Linked DNA regions of Sus scrofa. The protein of the gene in region 1 binds, or shares a complex with, the protein of each later gene. Links are inferred from orthologs where the notes say so. Each region holds a gene or a part of one and is shown on either strand. Other genes may lie near its edges.

Region 1 (3,632 bases):
ATTGAAAATGGTTATAATACACTAGATGAAACAGATTTAAGAAAACTATAGTGCAGACTAATTCTAAGGTCAAAAATTCTTTGAAAATTACGAATGTAAGATTATAAGGGTAATAAATAATAAACATTGAAAAGAGGTCAAGGTAATGATTAAAATAGGCAAAGTAGAAATGTTGGGCTAAATTTTATTTTTTTAAAGAAGCTGAATTTTTAAAATTGAGCGAAAATAAATTTTATTCAATATATATTTATTGAGCGCCTACTGTGTAATAGGTAATAAAAGCTGGGGTTTGTATCATAGTCCCATACAGTTCGGACACTAACCAGATGTGGGAACCCTACATATACCATACATTCTCCAGCCCTACTTACACCCTCACCTGCAAGACACACACTTTCTCCCTCCCTCCCTCTCTCTCCCTCTCTTTCTCCCCATCTCTCCCCTCATATACATGCACATTTGTGTATGGGACCAATAGATCATAGGACGAAAGAAATCCCTAGGGTTTCTGCTTTCTTTGCCTGTGCCTCCAATATGATTCAGGCCATTGGCAGGACGCGCTGTCATTATCACATCTGTGTTATAAATGAAGCTCCAGGTGTTCCAGGTACAACCTCTGCTTTTAGATGGCGATGAAAAGAGCAGTTTTATCACAACAGCCTCCCCTCTGGCTAACTAACATTTCACAAGGGAAATGTTACTCTTTATTCCCTATCTCAAGCCTCTAGGATTTGGGATTTTTATTATGCTAGTAGGTACATATTGCTTGGCTGAGATGTTCGTAAAGTTCTTCCACATGAGGTTGATCCCCAGATGTTTATTGTGTATTTATGTATACCAAATACAGTGCTGTACATGGTTTAAGAAGAAGGCACTATCATTTATATTATACTTGGTCTTTAATAATCTTTTTAAAATGTTTGTAGAACCAATAACTAGTGTTCTTTCCTATTATTTAGATGGAAGTGAAAATGTGACAGGATTGGACCTTTCAGATTTTCCAGCATTAGCAGACCGAAACAGAAGGGAAGGAAGTGGTAACCCAACTCCATTAATAAACCCCTTGGCTGGAAGAGCTCCTTATGGTAATTAAACTTTTTAATGATGTCCAGTGGAAACTTTGTGTTGTACAGAAGTACACACACACACGTGTACTCACATGTTTTTATGTGTTTTGTAGTCAGAATAGTGCAGTTTTATCAGAGTTGATAATGCAGAGTGCTTTTTCCTCCCGGGACACCAAAATAGTGTTCCATACTTAGTTTGTATGGAAACCCCAAAAGGAAATTATTGGTATTCAGATGTTTTTCTTCTTCTGGCATTTCTGCCTTAATACTAAACCTTAATGATTATTTGTAGTCTGCCTTTTCTCAGTTTGTCACATATTTTTTAAAAGAATGCATTCCCACATTCCTAGTAATTAATAAATTCTGGGATGATTTTTTTCTACATCTCTCAGCCTCCGCACTTTTGACATTTGAGTCACATAGTTCTTGTAAGCTGTCTTGTGCATTACAGAATGTTTACACATCCCTAAGCCTCTATTCGGTGCCAATAGCATCCTGTACCCCTACCCATACCACCTCCCCACCCCCCACTGTGAAAACCACAGGTATCTCCAGGTGTTGACAAATACCCCATGGGAGGAAAAGTTCCCTCCTCTTGAGAACTGCTCATGGGTCATGTCGTTTATGTAGTCTTTCGGTCACCCTTTTTACTGTCTTTAGTAAAGAAGAGATTTGGCTCATAGAACTAGACATAAAGATTATGTAACAGCTGTGTAACCATATTATTTTAATTCTTTGCACATAGTTGTTTCCTTTTGAGAGAATCTGATAAAGACCAGTAGCAGAAACAGTGAACTTAGAAGAGGGGTCATTTCATCACTTTTCTAAGAAAACTGTTTTCCCCATTTTCAACCAAGAAGAATTTCTCTGTCTTTCAGAATATGAATAAAAAATAATATGTGAAGAAGGGAAAAATTTATTATTCACATTCTAAAATTTCCTAATTAGTCTCCCCCCTAAAAAAAACCAAAATGATCTGCCCTGGAAGTTGAGTACCTAGCTACTTGATTCTCAGTTCAGACTCTAATGTTTTTAACCTTTCCTCATAGGTCCATTTTTTCATCCCTTTAATCATTCCCGTTGCTCTCCTTGGACCATCTCTAGTTTCTCCATATCGTTCTTGAATTGTGGAGCCCCAAACTGGATATTGTTCTCCAATAAGGGCCTGACTAATGCCAAGTATAGTGGGAGGATTACTTCCCAGTTCTTGCATGTTTTACATCTATTACATGGAGTCCAAGAAAATCTGAAATAATATGGAGTTGTTTTGTAATTGATTGCAATTTGCTCACTCTGTAAGTCACTTTCAAGTAGAATACTGATGTGTTCTTTTAAAATTTATTTTGTTCATTTGTTTTTGGCAGTTAACTGGTATTTATAATAGCTAGTCAGATATTAAAAGCACTTTTAAACTGAAAATTTTAATAATTATTACCAATATCAAATTATGTTTTTAAGCATCTATATATGACATTAGATTAGAATTATAGGATTATTACTTATTTCCCTTGTATTATTTTATGTATTTAGTTATTAATCAATATATAAAAATTTATTCATTGTTATCCAGAATACTCATTTTTTGAAGTGTGCTTTCAAAGCATAATAAGAAAATCCTTTTGGTATATTATCATGAGGAAAGTAAATTTTTATAATTTGTAGCAGTTTATCATAAATATCAATTGCAATTCTCTGAATTATTTTCATTACATAGTTGGAATGGTAACAAAACCAGCAAATGAGCAATCCCAGGACTTCTCAATACATAACGAAGACTTTCCAGCATTACCTGGTTCCAGTTATAAAGATCCAACATCAAGTAATGATGACAGTAAATCTGTAAGTAACTGAGAATTATGTGAGTTATGTAGTTTTTCCCCTTCAGATTTCTCTTCTATTAAGTTTTATAGACAAAATTAAGTACTATCACAAAATTGTTTATCTTGAATATCTGTAATCTAACTTCTGAAGAATGTGGGAAACCTGTATAACTTAGAAGATAGTCTATTTTTTTCCTATTTCATATAGGTTTGCCAATTTCTGTTGAACTTCTCAGAGTTAATTTAGACTTTTATTGTAGTCCCTGTCAGCTGGATCCCATGAAGTTTGATATTATAGCCTTCTAAGGAGCTGTGTTTTTCTTGAGTAAGTTTTCTCCTTGAAGAATCTTTATACACAATTTTATTCCTGTGTTGATTCAGCCAACTCAGCTTCCTCTTTCTGATTTAACGGATATGTTTATTTCTTCCACATTTCACTGAAAATAGTTTTTTATGTGTGTGTGTGATGGGAGTTTGTATATTTTTTTTTAAATAATTGATGAAGATTATTGGGTAAGAATTAAAATAAGTAAGAATTTTAAAAGTTCACATATTCTAACTTATCTTGGAGGTGTTTTATGGTAATATTTTAGGTAATGTACTGTGTTTTATATTTAGTTTATCTTCTGAATGAAGTATTGAGGAATGTAACCTCAAATGTACCCCAAAACATAAAGTTCTGAGATAGGTAGGGTTTTTTGTTTTGTTTTGTTTTGTTTTTTTTAAATCTGTGACTGAAAAGCTG
Region 2 (4,177 bases), on another chromosome or scaffold:
GCTCAGCGGAAACAAAACTGAATAGCATCCATGAAGATGCAGGTTCGATCCCTCGCCTTGCTCAGTGGGTTAAAGATCTAGCGTTGCCAGGAGTTGTGGTATAGGTCGCAGGTGTGGCTCAGATCCTGCGTGGCTATGGCTGTGGTGTAGGCCAGCAACTACAGCTCTAATCTGACTCCTAGCCTGGGAAACTCCATATGCCAAGGGTGTGGCCAAAAAGAAAAAAAAAAAAAAAAGAATTTTGAGGGAGTTCTTGTTGTGGCTCAGCAATAACGAACCTGACTGGTATCCATGAGGTTGCAGGTTTGATCCCTGACCCTGCTCAGCTGGGTAAGGATCCAGTGTTGCTGTGAGCTGTCATGTAGGTCTCAGACTCAGCTCAGATCCTGAGTTGCTGTGGCTCTGGTGTAGGAAAAGAATATAGTTCCCACTTCCATATGCCAAAGATGCGGCTCTAAAAAGCAGAAAGAAAAAAAGAGTTTTGAAACTTGGGCTCATGGAGTGAGTGGTATTATATGCCTGGAGGCATTTACCTTCTGCCCCACTTTCAAAATATTTCAAACACAAATATGTATTTTAGCTTTTCCTACACATTTCCTAGCTTAAGAAATGTACCTTGTTAGATTTACTTAGAATTGGTAATAATAGAAAGGTTTGTCTAGCTAAGGATATCAGCCTGCCTGGTTCTTACAGAGACCCATTTTGCAACCAATGTTTCTGTTTTTTTATACCTATACTCCCCCAGCTGAGAAGATGTGTTCAAGCCTTACTTTCCATAGTCTGTAGTTCAAAAACAATCGTTTTGGAAGTTCCCTTGTGGCGCAGCAGGTTGAGTTAAGGATCCAGTGTCGCTGCATTTCCCTTAAAATGTGAAATTATATTATTGACTATGTTCTTTTCCACCTACCCTTTGATTCCTTTGGTGCTTCTCCCTGCCATCAGCGGTTTACACAATTGTTCCAGTTTTGCAATAGCCTAAGTGCAACATAAAATCCGTTGTTCCACAAATACTCCAAGTTCTCTGGAAATACAAGCGATCAGTGTGTTCATTTTACCTTTACCTTCAGTAACCTGAGAAATGAACACAGTTCTGGGAGAGGGGGTATTGTGGGGTAGGAGATGGAGTGTGTTTCCTGTTTGATTGTTTCAGCAGACACCAGGACCAGTGCTGCAGGAAAAAACAAGCTGTTCCTCACATGACTAGATCCCCAGAGGGCTATCCTCTCCTGAAAGTAATTACAAGTGTATGAAAGGACATTAGAAACTCACAGGACGGGGGAAAGGAGCGTCTTGCCTGCTTTCTCGGCACAGTATTGCTGAACAGAATGATTAAGTCTGCAGCACTAACACAGACTGGATATCTCACGGATGACAAACTGAGGCAGGCCAGAAACACTTCTTTTTTCTTTTCTTTTTTTGTCTTTTTGCCTTTTCTAGGGCCGCACCTGAGGCATATGGAGGTTCCCAGGCTAGGGGTCCAATCGGAGCTATAGCTGCTGGCCTACACCAGAGCCACAGCAACGCCGGATCTGAGCGGCGTCTGCAACCTACCCCACAGCTCACGGCAACGCTGGATCCTTAACCCACTGAGCAAGGCCAGGGATCGAACCCGCAACCTCATGGTTCGTTAACCAGTGAGCTGCGAAGGGAACGCCTAGGAACATTTCTTGGTTGAATACACTTATATATCTTCCTTAGTGCGGTGTGGTTTTCCTATGTATTAACACAGACATTGTGTGAGATTGTTACTCATATCTCTATGTTATGGGAGAAGGAAACAGACTCATCAGGAGGGGAGAAGAGGAGGCGTGTTCAGAAGGTGCATTTGATGGGTTGGGAGTGCACTTTCCTGGAGACTAGCCTTTGGGACTCTAGGTTAGAATTGCCGATGAAGGCTTGCCCTGCCTCCAGCCTGGGAAACGGATGTGGGGTTTTAGAGATTGCTTTTAGGAGGTAATGTTTAAACGTAGAAAGGCGCAGTGATTCGGGGGTGAATTTGAAATCCACTTATCAGCAGCCCCCTTCGAGTGGAGGCATCTAGGAGTGTAACTAGAGCCATGCTCTGCGGAGTCTGCTGCACCGTCCCTCAGGGATAGAGTGGAGTTTCTGAGCCGGTGACTGAGGGCGGCCTGGAATTGTCAGCTGTGTGCGGGAAACCAGCGCTTTGTCTTCTCTCCCACAGCTGGAGAACGCGAGGCAGCGCTGAACCTTCCCCGCCTGGTCAAATACTGCCAAGGACAGGTGTTGGCAAAGAGCTCTCTTCTCAAATAGGATTCACAGTGAATCGGAGGGAAGGTGGGGGCTAAAAGGATACTGCTAAGCGAGGCCGGGGCACCACTGCTCTCGTATGGAGGATCCCACGAGCTCGCCTAGCGTCCGCCAGGTCTCGGAGGTTCTCCGAAAGCGGGAGGGCGGCAGCGCTGGCCCAGTGCCTCCCCCACCGGGCAGCGTCTTCTTTGTTACCCGAGCAAACCCCAGCGGGCTGGCTGCTATGGTAATGCTGGCTGCCCAAACCGGCGAGGGTGGGAGGAGGGAGGCGGGCCTCGGCGGACGTCACCCAGACTCGGTTTGGGGGTGCTGGCCCACCCACAAACAATTGTTTGCCGGAAAGGAAGCTTAAGGCAGAAGTTTTGTAAGTGGGGCCGCGTTAGTACAGAAGGAAGGGGGTCAGGAGCTCCCCCAGCGATCCTGCCCCCAACTTCGCTCCCGGCAACGATTTTAACGGTCTTTCAAAGAAGGGAGGAAGGGACTTTGGTAATTTAGGGTATTTGGTCAGACGGGCCACACCCTTTGCTCTAGCAAGGCACGCCCCCCGCGGGGATGGGCTAGTTCTAGACCACGCCCCTTCCCGAGCGCGCGGAAGGGGAACCGACATGGAGGGGCGGTCCTCAAACTGAACTGAACCGACGCAACTAATCGCGCGTAGGCTTGGGGTGGGTGGAGGCAAGGTTCCGAAGGCCTCCTCCGAGGTTGCCCCGCCCCGCCTTTTTCGCGACTCGCTCTTGGTTTTGCGCCTGCGCGTCGCTCTCGCGAGCTCTCGCGCTGAGCGAACACGGACAGAGTCTCCGGGGGCGCGCAGAAGGGGAGGGGCGGAGAGGGTCAGGCGCGCGCGTTTGCTGTGACGCGAAGAGAGCAGGCGAGTCGGGCGGATCGGATGGATAGAGTGGTACGACCAGATTGTTTGGTGGGTGGTGCGTAAGGTCGCTCTGGGCACGAGGGCGCCCATCTCACTAGGCCGCTTGGTTCTAGGAGCGGATCCCGGGCAGGGTGAGAAGAACGTCGGGTCGGGGCAGCTGCTACAGCTCCCGGGGAGTCTGCCCCGCAGCCCGTCTGCCCGCGCTTCGCGGGCCCTGCGGGTCAGGGTAAGCGAGCCCGCGCTAATCAGAGAGGAGTGTGGGATGAGAGTGTGTGGGAGGCTTTAAGGGCCTGCGGGAGGAAGAGGAGTGTGAGTATGCGTGAGGGACTGGGTGTGTGAAAACAAAAAGAGGCCCATCGAATAATAGCCGTAATAACTACCACTGCCACACGGTAATATTCTAGTGATGTGTGCCCGGACTTTACAAAGCACCTTGTATGTTTCATTCTGTTAACCTCTACTGCAATCCTCCAAGATGTTTACCGTCATTAAACCCATTTTACAAGAAGGGAAAACTGAGGCACGAGAGAGGCTAAGTAACTTATGCAAAGCCAAACACAGCTAGTCCATGTCCTGATTTCGAATTTAGGTCTGTCTCAAAAAAAAAGGGGGTAGTTAAAAGGAGGTGGAGAGGGCTGAGGGTGGTTTTAAGTGGAAGAGTCATCCGGAAAGAGAATCGAAGATAACGGGAGACGGTGGGAGGGAGAGGACCAGAGTTTGGAACCTTGCGGGCCGCCTCCTTCCTCCTGGTTCTTGCACAAGTTTTCCTTTTCTTTGGCTTCGTGACCCAGAGCTCTTGGCTCTGTAGGAGCCAGCTCACAGGCCTGGGCCACATGAGTGGTTTTAAGAACTGGTTGAACTGCGGTTCCGTCCAGGGTGGTGTCTTGGGACACTGTTTGGCTGGGGCTCCTGGGGGCCGGGGAGGGGAGGATGGCGGCCCCCGCGGCGGCGTATGGAGTTGTACCCTCTTCTGAGCGGCTGCCATTTCTTCTAAAGCGCTGCTACTTCCTTTTCCATTTTATCTCTGCGCGGCAAAGCCTT

What was found. Proteins that work in one complex are often made in the same cells at the same time.
Region 2: CNOT2 (region 1) and CNOT8 share a complex: the UniProt entries of both Homo sapiens proteins name them as parts of the CCR4-NOT complex. The link is inferred for Sus scrofa from reciprocal best matches to the Homo sapiens genes CNOT2 and CNOT8.

What each region holds. Positions count from the first base shown.
Region 1 is NC_010447.5:34,529,897-34,533,528, forward strand, and holds part of CNOT2 (CCR4-NOT transcription complex subunit 2), read left to right. Parts: intron 1-959; coding exon 960-1,085; intron 1,086-2,781; coding exon 2,782-2,906; intron 2,907-3,632. UniProt on the Homo sapiens protein: Component of the CCR4-NOT complex which is one of the major cellular mRNA deadenylases and is linked to various cellular processes including bulk mRNA degradation, miRNA-mediated repression, translational repression during translational initiation and general transcription regulation.
Region 2 is NC_010458.4:68,349,103-68,353,279, reverse strand, and holds the start of CNOT8 (CCR4-NOT transcription complex subunit 8), read left to right. Parts: upstream 1-1,259; 5' UTR 1,260-1,381; intron 1,382-3,118; exon of another isoform or gene 3,119-3,166; intron 3,167-3,178; exon of another isoform or gene 3,179-3,362; intron 3,363-4,177. UniProt on the Homo sapiens protein: Has 3'-5' poly(A) exoribonuclease activity for synthetic poly(A) RNA substrate. Its function seems to be partially redundant with that of CNOT7.